2 linked regions of the Drosophila melanogaster genome follow. Each later gene encodes a partner of the first gene's protein in a complex. Each region holds a gene or a part of one and is shown in the gene's direction. Other genes may lie near its edges.

Region 1 (8,212 bases):
TCATGCAGTGATTGCGCATATTATACAACTGCAGGAAGTAGGCATCGCAGTGCGGACACTTGTACCGCTCGCCCGTATGCCGCCGGATGTGCGCCTTCAGGTCGTTGCTTTGCGTGAAGCTCTTGGGACACTGGTCGCACTTGTACGGCCGCTCGCCGGTGTGCGTGCGCATGTGGATCGTTAGATTGTACGCGCGGTGGAAGCTCTTGCCGCAAGTATTGCACAGATTAGGTTTGGTGCCCGTGTGGTAACTGCAAGTCCAGGCAAAAATCGTTTAGGAAACAAAAAAAGAAAAAACAGCGGATAGCAACAGTGGGGATAGTGGATTCATCACTTACCGCTCATGGACCTTGAGATCGGTGGCACGGGGAAAGGCTTTGACACAGAAGCGGCACTTGTAGGGCTTCTCACCGTTGTGGCGTCGCATATGCACGCGGAGGTAGTCGTTGCGGGCAAAGCTGTCGCCGCAGATGCAGCACAGGAAGTTCCGCTGCCCGGTGTGGGTCTTTTCGTGCTCCCTCAGCTGCGCTCGCTCGCGGAATGTCTCGTCGCAAGTCTTGCAGGCGTAAAGGAAGTCGGTGTGCAGCAGAGTGTGCTTGCGTAGATAGGTCTTACTGGAGAAGCGCTTGGAGCAGTACTCACAAGTGTGCTCCGCCAGCTGCAGCTTCAGTTCGCTGCCCGGCTCCAGGCCCTCACCGTTGTGTTTGCTGACCTTGTGACGCTCCAAGGCGTCCAGGCGCGAGAAGGCGGCCTCACAGAGCGAACACTTGTGCTCCTTGTTGCTGTGTAGGCTCTGCACATGCGCCTTGAGGTGGTCGCTGCGCGCGAACGCCTTGGGGCAGTGCGGGCAGTTGTGGGGCTTCTTCTCCAGGTGCGACAGCTTGTGGCGCAGCAGGTGGCAGTGGCGCGAGAAGGTGCGCTGGCACACCTCGCAGCGGTTATCGGGATTGGGCTCGTCCTTGTTGCGCCGCCGTCGCCGCCTGCCGGACTTGGCCTTCTTCAGCGGCTTTTCGCCATCCAGCGGCTCCTGTTTCAACCGGAATTCTCCGTCATCATCATCCCCAGCGTCCTCCTCGTCGTCGTCGTCGTCATCATCGTCAAGGTCACTGTCATCGTCTGCAAAACCATCGAACCGCTCCTCATCGCTAAGCGGCAGCTCTCCGCTGACATGGAGCTTCATGAAGTCTTCCACTCCCATTGGCGCCTCGTCATCGCTGCCCACAAGTTGATTCTCTTCCTTAATGCTGAACTGAGAGTCGCCGATGGCAATGTGTTCGTCTGAAGAATGATAAATGGGTTCTACATTTCTCTGTTTATCTAAGCATACCACACTTACTCTTCACAGTCCGATCGATGGAAGTTTCCGCTTGAGCTTCTGCCTTCTCCCGCCGTCGACGCTTCTTCTCGAGCTTTAGCTGCATGGCCAGGTCGACTTCTTCCGCCTCCAGGCAGGGTTCCGGCTTGATGTGCAGCCACAGCGTTTGATTGGCCCCATTGGCTTCTTCGCCATCATCTTCGTTACTGGAAATGGGATTCGTATTGCACTGAAAGGCTTCCCCAACGACTTCATCTTCGTTATCCTCCTCGTTTAACAGCACCTCCGCAGAGACCAGCTCATCTCCGCCATCGCTGTTCATAGTATTCTCGTCCGCCGGCGGCCAGGTGCGCAAAAGATCCTCCTCCACATCCCGGTGCTGATTGCGTATGTGGCGCAGCAAATGATCCCGCCGGCTAAAGGTGCGTTGGCAATGGGCGCACTGTAGACGTGCGGTCTGCTCGTGGCTGCGCGCCAAATGGCTGCGCAGCTGTCGGAGATGCGGGAAATGCTGCGGACAAAATTTGCACTTAAAATCCTCGGATGGCAGGCCATCTGTGCCAGCCGACGTGGCCTCCTTGGTCGTTCTGTGCACCTGGTTGCGGTGCAGCCTGAGCTCCAGGCTGTTGAGGAACTGGTCGTGGCACATTTCGCATGGCAGCAAGGCCACCTGATCCGTCTGACTGGCCGCCTCGGCTCCTCGCGCCTTCAGCTGGGGCGACCGGCCCAGCAATGCGACCAGCGAGCAGTAGGAACGCTCCGCGTGCCGCTTGAAGCGGTAGGCGTTGCGGGCCGCCTCCACGCAGGAGCTGCACATATGTGGGGGCATGCCGTCGTTTCGCTCGCACTGGTGCAGGGTGCACTCGTCCAGGATGCGGGCCAGATTTGCGTCCTGCTCGACGGGCGTTTCGTTGAAGATGAAGTGTAGCTCCCCCTCCAACGATACATCCTTTAGGCACACGCGGCAGACGCGCTCCGCGTCCACGGTGTCCATTGTGGTCAGGGGCTCTAACTGGGAAACCAACTTGCTGACCGCCGGCTCAGTTTGCGCCTCCTGGCACGAACCCAACTCCAGCTGCGGCTGCGGCTGTGGCGTTGCCATGGCTGTTGCGCGTCCTTCGATCTTTGCTATTGCATGTGGGCATCGACAATTAGCACAATTGCTGCTGAATTTTCATAATTTTTCTTTTATTTTAACAATACGAAGCGTTTGTTGTGCTCGCGAGTGCCGTCATACTGGGTGCGCCATTTGTTGTGTTACCGAGTTCGGCCACACTGCGTAAATATCGATATTTTTCATGTTGCCGATAGCTTTTTTAAACCAGATTTGCATTTTACAAACATTTTCTAAACATTAAATAAATATATAAAGAAATTCAAAAATAATTGTAAAATCACAATATTTGGAGTGTTTATTTATTTTCTCCAACCTTAATAGCTCAACAAATTAAACGCTCTCGAAAAGATTATCAAGGTAATTATTATTTACAAGATGCGATAGTTAACTAAGGAATGTCATTTTAAGGTTTCAATTTCTTTTCCAGCACCCGCGTCCACAATCAATGTCAACTGCCCTTTGGTCGGATTCACCCACGCAGCGGGAAACTTCTTGTCCAGATCGACAAACACACTCTAAAAAATATAATAACAACAAAAATAAACCTTACAAATGAAGTTTTTGAATTGTGGTTAAAAATATCAGATTTCTTGCTCATATTCTTTTCCATCTTATCAAGCTAAAGAGACCTCACCTTGACGACACTGGCTTTTGCGGCGCCCGTAACCACGAAGGCGACATTCCGTGCCTTATTGATCAGCGGCAGGGTGAAAGTGATCCGCTCGGGAGGCGGCTTGGGCGAGTTCCGGATGGGGATAACCAGGCGCTTGGTCTCCTGCAGGGTGGCTGGCTGCTCGGGAAAGAGGGAGCAGGTGTGGCCATCGGGTCCCATGCCAAGCAGCAGCAGATCGAAGCGATCGACTTGACTTTTGACCTTCGCCTCGTAATCTGCGGCGCAGGCGTCCAGCGGTTGGCTGGTATCGGCGCGGACGAACTGGGATTCCTGGATGCAGGGCAATTGGGTTAGCCACTCGGCCCTGTAGGCACCATAGGTGGAATCGCTGTCATCCAGGCGAACATACCGCTCGTCACAGAAGAAAAACACCCATTTGGCCGTTTTTAAGTTGCACGATTTCAGGGCTTTCGTTAGCAACTGGACGAGGGAACCACCTGTAAGCGAAACAAGACACTTGACTTTGGGAGCACAAGTTTAAAGATCGCACCTGGCAAGGTCACCCCTCAAGTTTGGCTTATCACAAGCCAACCCACTTGACCTGCATGACCTGTGCGTTGATCCTTACCCGAAAGTCCCACGCTGAACTTATCATGTTTGGCCAGCGCCTCCTGGGAGCAGCGCTGGAGAAGATCGCCCAGGGCCTGGACAAGTTGCTCCTCCGAAGCGGACGGGATTACTTTTAGCGCACCCTTTTTCTCCGACATATTGCTTGATCTGATAATAAAACTCGACTCGACTTCGATTTGTCAGTAATCACCATTCCCTCTCTCAACTATCGATTACCAATTTATGAAATACATTGCACCGTTTGCGACAAAATGAAAGTAAGTAAATCTTATACGAAAACATTTCACTACCTCTATTCGTAAAATAACAACTTATTTGATATTGAGCAAAAAAGGAGTGTGTACGTGTGTGCTACAACTATATAATATTTAAAGTAAGAATGAGGTAACTCTCTTCAAAACAGTCCAATAAAATAATATTGCATTCTAAAGTTTAACTGCAACAAAACAAAAAATAGCCAATAATCTTTAGATTTATCGCGGTTGTTCTGCGCTAGAGTGTCATCACTGATTACGACCTGTGCGATAGTTGGCCCGCCATCATCGATAGACCTGTCAGAAATTAAGAAAACAATATCAACATCAAGCGAATATACTTCGCTCGCTACATATTTCTAGTTAGTTTTCGTAACTTTTTCGCTTTGGTGGCAATTAAATCAAATTTCCTCGAAGAATAACTTGTAAAAAGGTCGCAAACATCCGTCCAGTTTCTGCCAACCATCGGCCACTGGCTATCGAAAGAAGATCGCTAGTGAATTAAATTTCACAAAATTGCGTTGTACTTTGGCCGTGGAAATTTGCCAAAAAACAGCAGCTACTTTGCTGCTATATTAGCAAATAGGTTCAGGAAGTCGAGAAAAATTTTTCCAGAAGTTGGCAGCAGTTTGTGTGAATGCAAAAAATACATCGCACATAGTTTTTTGCCCTCAAGACAGTTTTCTCAGTAATAACAACAGCACCCACACAAACACACAACACCACTCAGCTAAAAACGTGCTGAAATTCGCATATCTTTTTGTTGCATACGTTTTTGAGTGAATATTAGTAAGATGCCCAAACGCGGCGGTGGCAGTAGCCAGCGGTACAACAACAACGTTGGAAATGGCGGCGGACGTTACAACGCTCCCGAGGATTTCGATGATTTTGGTCAGTACACGGGAGTGCAAGAAAATGAACCCTCCAGTAACCTAAATATAATGTATTCCTATAGATGTGGAGGATCGCCAGCGACGCAAGGATCGAAACAAGCGGCGCGTCAGCTTTAAGCCCTCCCAATGTCTACATAACAAAAAGGACATCAAGCTGCGACCCGAAGATTTGCGTCGATGGGACGAGGATGATGACATGAGCGACATGACCACGGCCGTTAAGGTGCCCACCAACCCCACATGTTATCCCTATGCACATTTCTAATCTAATGTATAATTAATTCCAACAGGATAGACCCACCTCCCGACGTCGGGGATCGCCCATTCCGCGCGGCAAGTTCGGCAAACTGATGCCCAACAGCTTTGGCTGGTACCAAGTCACGGTGAGTTTGGACTACCATGTCATATAGATATCATAGCCGCAATGGCCCAGACCAAAATCATGTGATTTAATAGTAGTTTTATTACTAAGCTAAAGAAGCAAAAGCATTCAGTCCTCCAGCACCTGTTAGATTTATAACGTTCGCCATTATACAAATTAATCGACTGTTCTACTGGATGGCTCTTCTTATGCGAAGTACATATATGTTAAATGTAGTTTTAAGTATTTAGATTACTAACGTCACATAAAACTTCCAGAAGTTTGCTCCAGTGCTCTACTAATTTCCCGCCCCTACATAGAACTACAAACCCCAGACTGGTCCATATAGATACCAGATTTACGACAGCAGTCATAGAACTATTTTTGGTCTCCAAGAACATCATGTGATTCGTCTGATGGCTTTTTTTTTTTGTTATTGGCAAAAGATCGCGTTGAGGGAGCAAAGTATCCGGCAAGAATCGCATAAGTTACAGCGAAATGTTGAGACTTATTTGTTTATTTGTACACTGCTTCCAAAGCTCCAATGCCGACTTGCCGACTGGGCTCTTTGTGTTTATTAATTAATTTCCCTCGTAAAAATCGTAAAGCAAACAAGCCAAAGTTGGGCCGGGGGGATACCAGCTCTACACAGCTAACGACAATCGGGTACTACAATTACAATTGCAATCCGACGAGCGGGCAAATAAATATTTATGGATGGCTAAACACAGTCGTCCACAGTACCAGCCACAAGTGTTTGTCGGCACGAGCTAAAAGTGCAATGAAGTCGAGCCTTTGGTGGTTTGACAGTTGCCATGACCCTCACCTAAATGGTTTCCCATTTTAAGGGCTTGCGGGCCTGCGGTTGGGTTATCCTTCGCCTGGTTGTCACCCTATCCAGCCGCACGTGGTGCAACACAACAGGTCGCTATCTCTCGACGGGGTCGTAAATGCCATAGTAAAATGCCCAATGCTGACTCTCCACCAACAAAAGCTTGCGGTTTCATTCCGTTTGGGCCTTTATTTCATCGACGGCCGGCAGACGGTGAAGACGTGTTCCAACGTCCGACGCCCCATAGAATATATCGCTTGAATCTCAAGAGGCCCGATTAGGGGCAACTTATCAGTTTGGAGTGATTAGATGTGCGACTAGGGTTCCGTCGGGAAAATCAGCCTAACACGTGCCCCACTTAAAACCCGGCATCTGCAATGGCTACTTTGGGCGCCTGGGACTACACGATCCTGGCGGTGGTGCTGATCATCTCCGTTGCGATTGGCATCTACTACCGTTTCGTGGGCGGCAAGCAGAGCACCACCACCGAATATCTTCTGGCGGATCGTTCCATGAACGTGGCGCCTGTGGCCTTTAGCCTGATGGCCAGTTTCATGTCGGCCGTCACCATATTGGGCGTATCCATGGAGAACTACCAGTACGGTACAATGTTCGTCGTGATCAATCTGTCGTATGTGTTGTCCACGCCGGTGGCCGCCTACCTCATCATTCCGGTCTTCTATCGCCTAAAGACGGCCAGTGTGTACGAGTATCTGGAACTGCGGTTTGGCTATGCCACCCGATTGGCCGCCTCGCTGAGCTTCTCGCTCCAGATGGTCCTATACATGGGCATTGTGGTCTATGCGCCGGCTCTGGCCCTGGAAGCTGTCACTGGACTGAGCCAGGTCTTCTCCATCGTAATTGTTGGAGTCGTGTGCACGTTCTATGCGACGCTCGGCGGAATGAAGGCCGTACTCATCACGGACATCTATCAGTCGCTCCTCATGTTCGCCGCTGTCTTCAGTGTAATCATCTGTGCCTGGGTGAAGGCGGGCAGCTTGGAGGTGATATGGCGCGTGGCGCAGGAAAACGGACGCATCAATCTGACCAACTTCAGTGTGGATCCAACGGAACGTCACACTTGGTTCACCCAGATTTTAGGCGGATGTGCCACCTATTTGGCCATCTATGGTGTGAATCAAACGCAGGTCCAGCGCCTGATGGCGGTGAAGAGTTTGAGTGCCGCTCGAGCGGCCCTGTGGTGGTGCCTGCCCATTCTGTGCCTGCTTAGTCTGAGCACCTGTTTCTCCGGTCTGTGCATCTACTGGTACTACCGCGACTGTGACCCGCTGCTGGAGGGTAGAGTCAACTCGCGCGATCAAGTGATGCCGCTCTTTGTCGTGGACACGATGGGCGAATACACCGGTTTGGCTGGCCTCTTCGTTTCGGGAATCTTTTGCGCCAGCCTCTCCACGATTAGTTCGATAATCAGCTCGCTGGCAGCCGTCACCCTGGAGGATTACCTCAAGCCCTTGGTCAGCTGCTGTGCCAAACGCACGCTCACCGACCGTCAGACCTTGTGGTACTCCAAGCTGTTGTCCCTATTCTTCGGAGCCCTCTGCATTGGCATGGCCTTCATGGCGGGATCAATTGGCGGACTACTGCAGGCGGCACTGTCAATCTTCGGCATCATTGGAGGCCCTCTGCTGGGCCTCTTCACGCTGGGCATGTATGTGACCAAGGCGAATGAAAAGGGAGCCATTGGTGGGCTGCTCATATCGCTGGCGTTCTGCTTTTGGATCGGTTTCGGACAACCGAAGCCACCGCTGGTCAGCTTGGATATGTCCACGGCTGGATGTCCGGTGGACAGGAGCTTTGCCCGCGACATTTTCCTCAAGACTGTGATAGCGGTGGCCGAGGAAGAGCATTACTTTTACCTGTACAGGATTAGCTACATGTGGTACGCTGCTTTGGGCTTCCTGATAACCTTCTTTGGCGGATGGCTGTTGTCCTGGCTGTTTGCCCTGCTGAAATGGGACAACAATCGACGCATCTACCAGGATGCGGACTGCACGCTAATCAAGCACGATCTCTTCGTGCCGCCGATAGCCAAACGTTTGCAACGGCGACAAATGCCGCTCCTGGTGGTCACCGGCACCAGTTCGGAGATTGGCGGCATCACGACAGAGAGCGCTACGGCGCCGCCGCGGCTGGACGAGATCGAGTGGGAGAAACACAAGGCAGTGGCGTAACTGAA
Region 2 (6,076 bases), on another chromosome or scaffold:
TTCAAGGTGGTCATGTATCAGAAAGTAATAGTAATAGTATCATTTATATAATTGATGGTCAACGTGGATAAGCTGGATTAGGATTAATGTAGACTTACTATATAAACTTACTATTTTGGCCTTCATTCATTATTTTATTTTACCTTCTCGAAGGTGTACATTGCGGAAACGGCGGAACCCAATCTGCGGAGTCTGCTGATCGGCGCGCCCTATGTGGCCTACTCAAGCGGCATCCTAATGGTCTACTCCCTGGGCTCCATGATGTACTGGCGTAGTGTTGCGTGGTGCGCCAACGTGCTGCCCCTGCTGTCCATGGTGTCTATCTCGTTTATACCGGAGACTCCGGCCTGGCTACTCCGCAATGGCCACGAGAAGCGTGCGCTGCAGGCCCTCTCGTTCCTGCGGGGCAGCGAGATCAGTGCGCAGAAGGAGCTGAATGATATGAAGCAGAGGCTGGCCAAGGAGCGGGTGACCACCAAGACGAACGAGAACATCTTCCAGCTGTGCTGCCAGCGCGTGGCCATCAAGCCGCTGGTCATTGTGATCGTGTTCTCGCTGCTGCAGATGTTCTCCGGCACGTTCATCGTGATCTTCTATGCCGTGGACATGATCTCGGAGTTCGGAGCGGAGTTCGACTCCAAGCAGGCGGCCATTGCGACGGCAGTTGTCCGGGTGATCTGCTGCATGGTCTTCTGCGTAGTCCTGATCTTCGTTCGCCGCCGCAGGATCATGATAGTGTCGGGAATCGGCTCCGGCTTGTTCTGCCTGGTGCTCAGTGTCTATCAGTATGCCAGATTCGATCAACCGAAAATGTCGTACGACGTATTCGTTGGTGCCGGCTGTCTCTTGGGCTACATCATCTTCAACACGGCTCTGATGGTGATGCCCGGCATTATGATCGGCGAGCTCTTCCCGGCTAGGATACGCGGACGGACTGCCGGCGGAGTGTTTGCCTCCATGAACGTCGCTCTGTTCATCTTCGCGAAGAAGTTTCCCGCTTTGCAGGCCATGCTCAAGATGCGCGGCGTGTTCCTGGTCTTCGGCGTGTCCAGTTTCCTGCTCACTGCCTTTATGTGCCTTTTCCAGCCGGAGACGAAGGGCCGCAGCCTGGAGCACATCGAGGACTATTTCAACGGGGACAACTGGCTCTGGTTCCGGCGGGATCGAGGCTACAAGACGGTCAACCTGCAGCCCCTGGAGCCATTGAAGGACACCCGGGGGCTGGAGGCCTAGGTCGGGGGGCTTTAGTCTTAAAACAGGTCTTAGCTTAGCTAGTTTTAGCCATACTCATAGTTCTAGCCGCAGTGCCTCGTAGTCGCCCTAGACTCGCTCGATTTTCCAGTGACCCCCAATGGGCCACTCCGACAGGGAATCTTCAAATGTTAGGTTACCAATTCAAATTGTGATCGCTATGCTTTAAATTGTGTCTAATTGTTAATTAAAATTATGATTAGAAATAAACAACTTGAAAAATAAAAGTCATCATTTGTTTTTCGGGCAATTTGCAGAAAATGTTTGCAATAAACTTGTTTTTAAGTGTTTGAACATCTTGACTTTTTTAAACTTTAAATAAATATTAAGGGTACTCACGTAGATTAGTAGCGTTTTTGTATTTCAAATGGTGGTAGTAATATTTTTGTTTCTTTCTTTCTGGAGAGTTTTTTTCTGACCACCCGAGGACGGTCACTCTAATTCGAGAATCGCGGGAAACATGGACAGCGTGAGTTGAAAATATTTAGTTTTTTAGCAATTTAGCATAGCAACTATTTGTTTAAAGGATTTGAAAGCCAAGGTCGAGAGCTGCGCCCGTACGGCGGATACCTTCACACGCCTGTACTACGCCTCCGTGGACAACCGACGCCAAGTAAGTAGAGATCCGCCTTGAAAGTCTGCATTTCATGGGAAAACGAAACTCAAATAGATTCCACCTGCAGCAAATTGGACGCCTCTATTTGGACAATGCTACGCTTAGCTGGAATGGAAACGGGGCCATCGGCCGCCAGATGATCGAGAGCTACTTTCAGGAGCTGCCATCCTCAAACCACCAGTTGAACACCCTGGACGCGCAGCCTATTGTGGATCAGGCTGTGTCCAACCAGCTGGCCTACCTCATCATGGCCAGCGGCTCCGTCAAGTTCGCAGATCAGCAGTTACGCAAATTTCAGCAGACTTTCATCGTTACCGCCGAGAATGATAAATGGAAGGTCGTCTCCGATTGCTACCGAATGCAGGAGGTCTGAGATCCACACACTTGTATTTTAAGCTAAGCTAAAGTTCTTACGTCGTAACGAGTTTATTAACATATCTAAGCTCTTATAAATAGATTGACTTCCTATTTGTCCGCCTCTGTCTTGGGCTTCTTGGTGGCCGGCTCGTCGGCGGGTAGTTTTTCGGAGAAGATGGCCTTTGGCTGCGTCTGCTTGTAGGCCGGTGCTATCCAGTAAGGATTCTCGGCTGCGTCCTTGGCATACTTCAAGATGGCTTCCCTGGGATCCTGGTCGTCGTCCACCCGCTTGCTCAGGCCCAGATTGCGGATGACATAGGAGGAGAGGGTGCCGCCGGAGCTGGCCACGCGGCCGCCCTGACCGCTGGTGATGGGCAAGTCCGGTCGCTGGGACTTGACAGGATCCATACGGGCCTTCTCCATCCGCTTACGCGAGGTACGGGACTTTTCCTGCCTGAACAATGGCAGGGCGTGCGGCGTAATGATCTGGGAGACTCCCACCATCTCCATGGGCTGCCTCTTGCGATGCGTCTTCACTACGCACAGCTTGGCGCCCCGGATGCTGCGGTGCTCATCGTAATAGCACTTAATGGTTCCATTGCCACAGCTCACGAACAGTTGGTTGAGCTTTGGGTGCCACAGCGTTTTCACCACGTGCGCGTTGGACACGGGAATCCGCTGCACTTCCTCGTAGCTCTTAGTGCTGTAGAAATACAGGTTCGCTTCGGCCTGGCCCTTCGGAAGCGATTCTCCGGTGACTAGCAGACGGTCATCTGGACTAAAGCAGCAATCTGTTGTGTCGTAGCGGGAGAACAGGTTTGTCCAGGTATGCAGCGGCTGTTTGAACTGCCGCAGATCCCAAAGCTTCATGGTCTCGTCGTTGCTGCGAGTGGCCAACTGCTGACCCATGTACGAGAACACAATGGAGGTGATCTCCGAACCCTTCTGATGCGCATCCCTGACGCAGTGCGTGGTGTTCACAAACATCTTGCGCGTGTCCCACGTCTGAATGGAACCATCCACGCAGCCCGCTGCTATGAGTGTGGCGTCCCTGTTAAAGTTGCATGATGCTGCGTTGGTGCGGAGGCCTCCCTGCGCCCTTGTCTTGATCACCTGCAACTGTTCCTTGGACTTCAATCCCTGCCAGATGCGCAGAGTACCGTCGAGAGCTGCGGTCAGGAACTGCTCCCTGTTAAATGGATGCCAGCAGCCGGAGGTCAACTGTGCCACGTGGCCCTTGGTGCGCGACATGTCCGAGATATACTGGTCGCCCTTGCAGCACTCCAGTTTCTCGAATCCATCGCGGTCGAGGACCTTGGCCTGGGCGTTTCCGGAGATGACCAGGATCATGTCGCCGGTCACGGAGTACTGGAGAGAACGTATGGGATGGTTCTCGCACGGCTGCAGTTGCCGGAAGCTACGCATGCTCGAGTCCATGCCGGCGAAATCCCAGAAGCACATATCGTAGTCTATGGAACCAGAGACCAAGCGGGCACCCGAGGGATCGCCAGCCAGGGCAAGGACAGCGCGGGAACCGTGCTGCATCTGCACCTCGTGTGTGTAGGGTATGCGCTTAGCAAGGCTTTGTTCGTCATCTGAATCTTCATCGGACGAATAATCATCGTCATCGGAGTCTTCGTCTTTGGACGATTCCTTCGTGGCTTTCTCCTTGTCTGTGGTCACAGCTGGTGGTAGGGGACCTATTACGTCCTCCTCTTCCTCGTCTTTCTGGTCATCCTCCTTCGGCTTGGACTCCTCCCTTTTTTTGTCCATTCCCGGGCGGGTAACTCTCGCCTTTTCTATCTGCTCGTTGATGTCGAACACCTTGGCCGCCTTGCGACCAAAGCCACTGATGCCCATCACTTCCTTGAGGTGCTGGCTCTCCAGATCTTCGGCCACGTCCTCGATCTGCCGAATCATCTGCTCCTTGTCCATTTTCTTGAATCCTCCGCCATTTCCGCTGGCTTCAGTGGACTCCTTTGCATCTTCCGCCTCGGTTTCGTTGGATCTTGGCTCCGCAGGAGGTACGTTTACATTCAGTTTGATTTTCCCGAAGGAAATTTTACCGCGTTGCATAGTTTTAAGGCCCCACGCTAAGTGGATTTTCAAATTTTTAATTAAAACTATATTTCTCTGAAAATATGCGGTAAATATTTTGTAAACAAGTGAATTAAGTGACCGTTTATATTCGGACTGTCAATTTGGTATTTTAAAAGATCGAGCGAATTGTTATGGTCTTTAAATAAGCTCTGGCTTGCCCATTAAAATTTTTCAATTTAATAATGACTCATATATTGTTCATGTATTGCAAACAAGATATATATAAACAATAAAGGAAACTGCATTGGAATATTAAGAGTTTATATCGATTGCAATTTAAGAATAGTGCACTCAAAAATACTAAACACACATACGGTCACTCTAATATAGCTGACTGGCGTCTAACCTAAAATTAGGCGCGCAGTGTTGTTTTGTGTCTGCCGGAATTATTGTAAATTGGTGACAATTTCGCAAGGCGGCGTAATACATAGTTGATCTATTATCTTGTTACTGGAGAGGAAGAAGTGCAGGATGACAGACTCTCTGGAGTACAACGACATAAACGCCGAAGTGCGCGGAGTCTTGGTGAGTCGCAAAAAAGCCGGCGTATTTTGTCACATTTCGCATGACCGAGGTTTTCCATTTCCCTGCGCGCAAAAAAGTGTTCCGGACGCCTAAAGATGACCGAGCAGAACATCATCTTCAAGAACACCAAGACCGGCAAGGTGGAGCAGATCTCGGCAGAGGACATAGACCTGATCAATTCGCAGAAGTTCGTGGGCACCTGGGGACTGAGGGTGTTCACCAAAGGCGGCGTGCTCCACCGCTTCACCGGATTCCGCGACAGCGAGCACGAGAAGCTGGGCAAGTTTATCAAGGCTGCCTACTCGCAGGAGATGGTCGAGAAGGAGATGTGCGTCAAGGGCTGGAACTGGGGCACCGCCCGCTTCATGGGCTCCGTCCTGAGCTTCGACAAGGAGTCGAAGACCATCTTCGAGGTGCCGCTGTCGCACGTTTCGCAGTGCGTGACCGGCAAGAACGAGGTCACCCTGGAGTTCCACCAAAACGACGATGCGCCCGTGGGTCTACTGGAGATGCGGTTCCACATACCCGCCGTGGAGTCGGCCGAGGAGGATCCGGTAGACAAGTTCCACCAGAACGTAATGAGCAAGGCCTCGGTCATCTCGGCTTCGGGCGAGTCCATCGCCATTTTCAGAGAGATCCAGATCCTCACGCCTCGCGGTCGCTATGACATCAAGATCTTCTCGACCTTCTTCCAGCTGCACGGCAAGACGTTCGACTACAAGATTCCCATGGACTCGGTGCTGCGGCTCTTCATGCTGCCCCACAAAGACAGTCGACAGATGTTCTTTGTGCTCTCCTTGGATCCGCCCATCAAGCAGGGACAAACGCGTTACCACTACCTGGTCCTGCTGTTTGCTCCCGATGAGGAGACCACCATTGAGCTGCCATTCTCGGAAGCCGAGTTGCGAGACAAGTACGAGGGCAAGCTGGAGAAAGAGATCTCCGGGCCGGTGTACGAGGTGATGGGCAAAGTGATGAAGGTGCTGATCGGTCGAAAAATTACCGGACCCGGTAACTTTATCGGACACTCTGGCACGGCTGCAGTGGGCTGCTCGTTCAAGGCTGCAGCTGGATATCTGTATCCCCTGGAGCGAGGATTCATCTATATCCACAAGCCACCGCTGCATATCCGCTTTGAGGAGATTAGTTCTGTGAACTTTGCCCGCAGCGGCGGATCCACGCGATCTTTCGACTTCGAAGTGACGCTCAAGAACGGAACTGTTCACA

What was found.
Region 2: the proteins of sbr (region 1) and Nxt1 are in contact, whole or in part, in a crystal structure (PDB 6IHJ), measured with the Drosophila melanogaster proteins. Residues at the interface, in NP_524660.1 of Drosophila melanogaster: Leu359, Leu360, Glu361, Thr362, Lys363, Ala364, Ser365, Tyr366, Met404, Leu405, Ser406, Ile407, Ser408, Met409, Pro410, Gln414, Arg426, Asn427, Leu428, Arg429, Arg438, Thr439, Leu442, Tyr444, Thr467, Val468, Asp469, Thr471, Ile472, Met477; in NP_611833.1 of Drosophila melanogaster: Met1 (codon at 1,712), Leu5 (codon at 1,781), Val9 (codon at 1,793), Glu10 (codon at 1,796), Ala13 (codon at 1,805), Asp17 (codon at 1,817), Arg21 (codon at 1,829), Thr43 (codon at 1,965), Ser45 (codon at 1,971), Trp46 (codon at 1,974), Asn47 (codon at 1,977), Gly48 (codon at 1,980), Asn49 (codon at 1,983), Gly50 (codon at 1,986), Ile52 (codon at 1,992), Tyr60 (codon at 2,016), Leu64 (codon at 2,028), Leu71 (codon at 2,049), Asn72 (codon at 2,052), Thr73 (codon at 2,055), Leu74 (codon at 2,058), Asp75 (codon at 2,061), Ala76 (codon at 2,064), Gln77 (codon at 2,067), Pro78 (codon at 2,070), Ile79 (codon at 2,073), Val80 (codon at 2,076), Asp81 (codon at 2,079), Leu91 (codon at 2,109), Met93 (codon at 2,115).

What each region holds. Positions count from the first base shown.
Region 1 is NC_004354.4:10,843,100-10,851,311, reverse strand, and holds the start of sbr (small bristles), read left to right. Parts: upstream 1-4,219; 5' UTR 4,220-4,723; coding exon 4,724-4,820; intron 4,821-4,884; coding exon 4,885-5,045; intron 5,046-5,112; coding exon 5,113-5,205; intron 5,206-6,230; exon of another isoform or gene 6,231-6,392; coding exon of another isoform or gene 6,393-8,207; exon of another isoform or gene 8,208-8,212. Other genes in the region: CG2202 (uncharacterized protein), read right to left, coding at 1-251, 339-1,278, 1,337-2,417; Pgls (6-phosphogluconolactonase), read right to left, coding at 2,831-2,947, 3,067-3,542, 3,674-3,812; CG32669 (uncharacterized protein), read left to right, coding at 6,393-8,207. UniProt on the Drosophila melanogaster protein: Mediates the export of the majority of mRNAs from the nucleus to the cytoplasm. In ovarian follicle cells, plays a role in transposable element silencing regulation by enabling the nuclear export of flamenco (flam) transcripts and subsequent piRNA biogenesis.
Region 2 is NT_033778.4:23,807,583-23,813,658, reverse strand, and holds Nxt1 (NTF2-related export protein 1), read left to right. Parts: upstream 1-1,684; 5' UTR 1,685-1,711; coding exon 1,712-1,720; intron 1,721-1,777; coding exon 1,778-1,864; intron 1,865-1,921; coding exon of another isoform or gene 1,922-1,934; coding exon 1,935-2,240; 3' UTR 2,241-2,332; downstream 2,333-6,076. Other genes in the region: pippin, read left to right, coding at 154-1,233; CG5543 (uncharacterized protein), read right to left, coding at 2,333-4,300; Ssrp (structure specific recognition protein), read left to right, coding at 4,796-4,849, 4,927-6,076.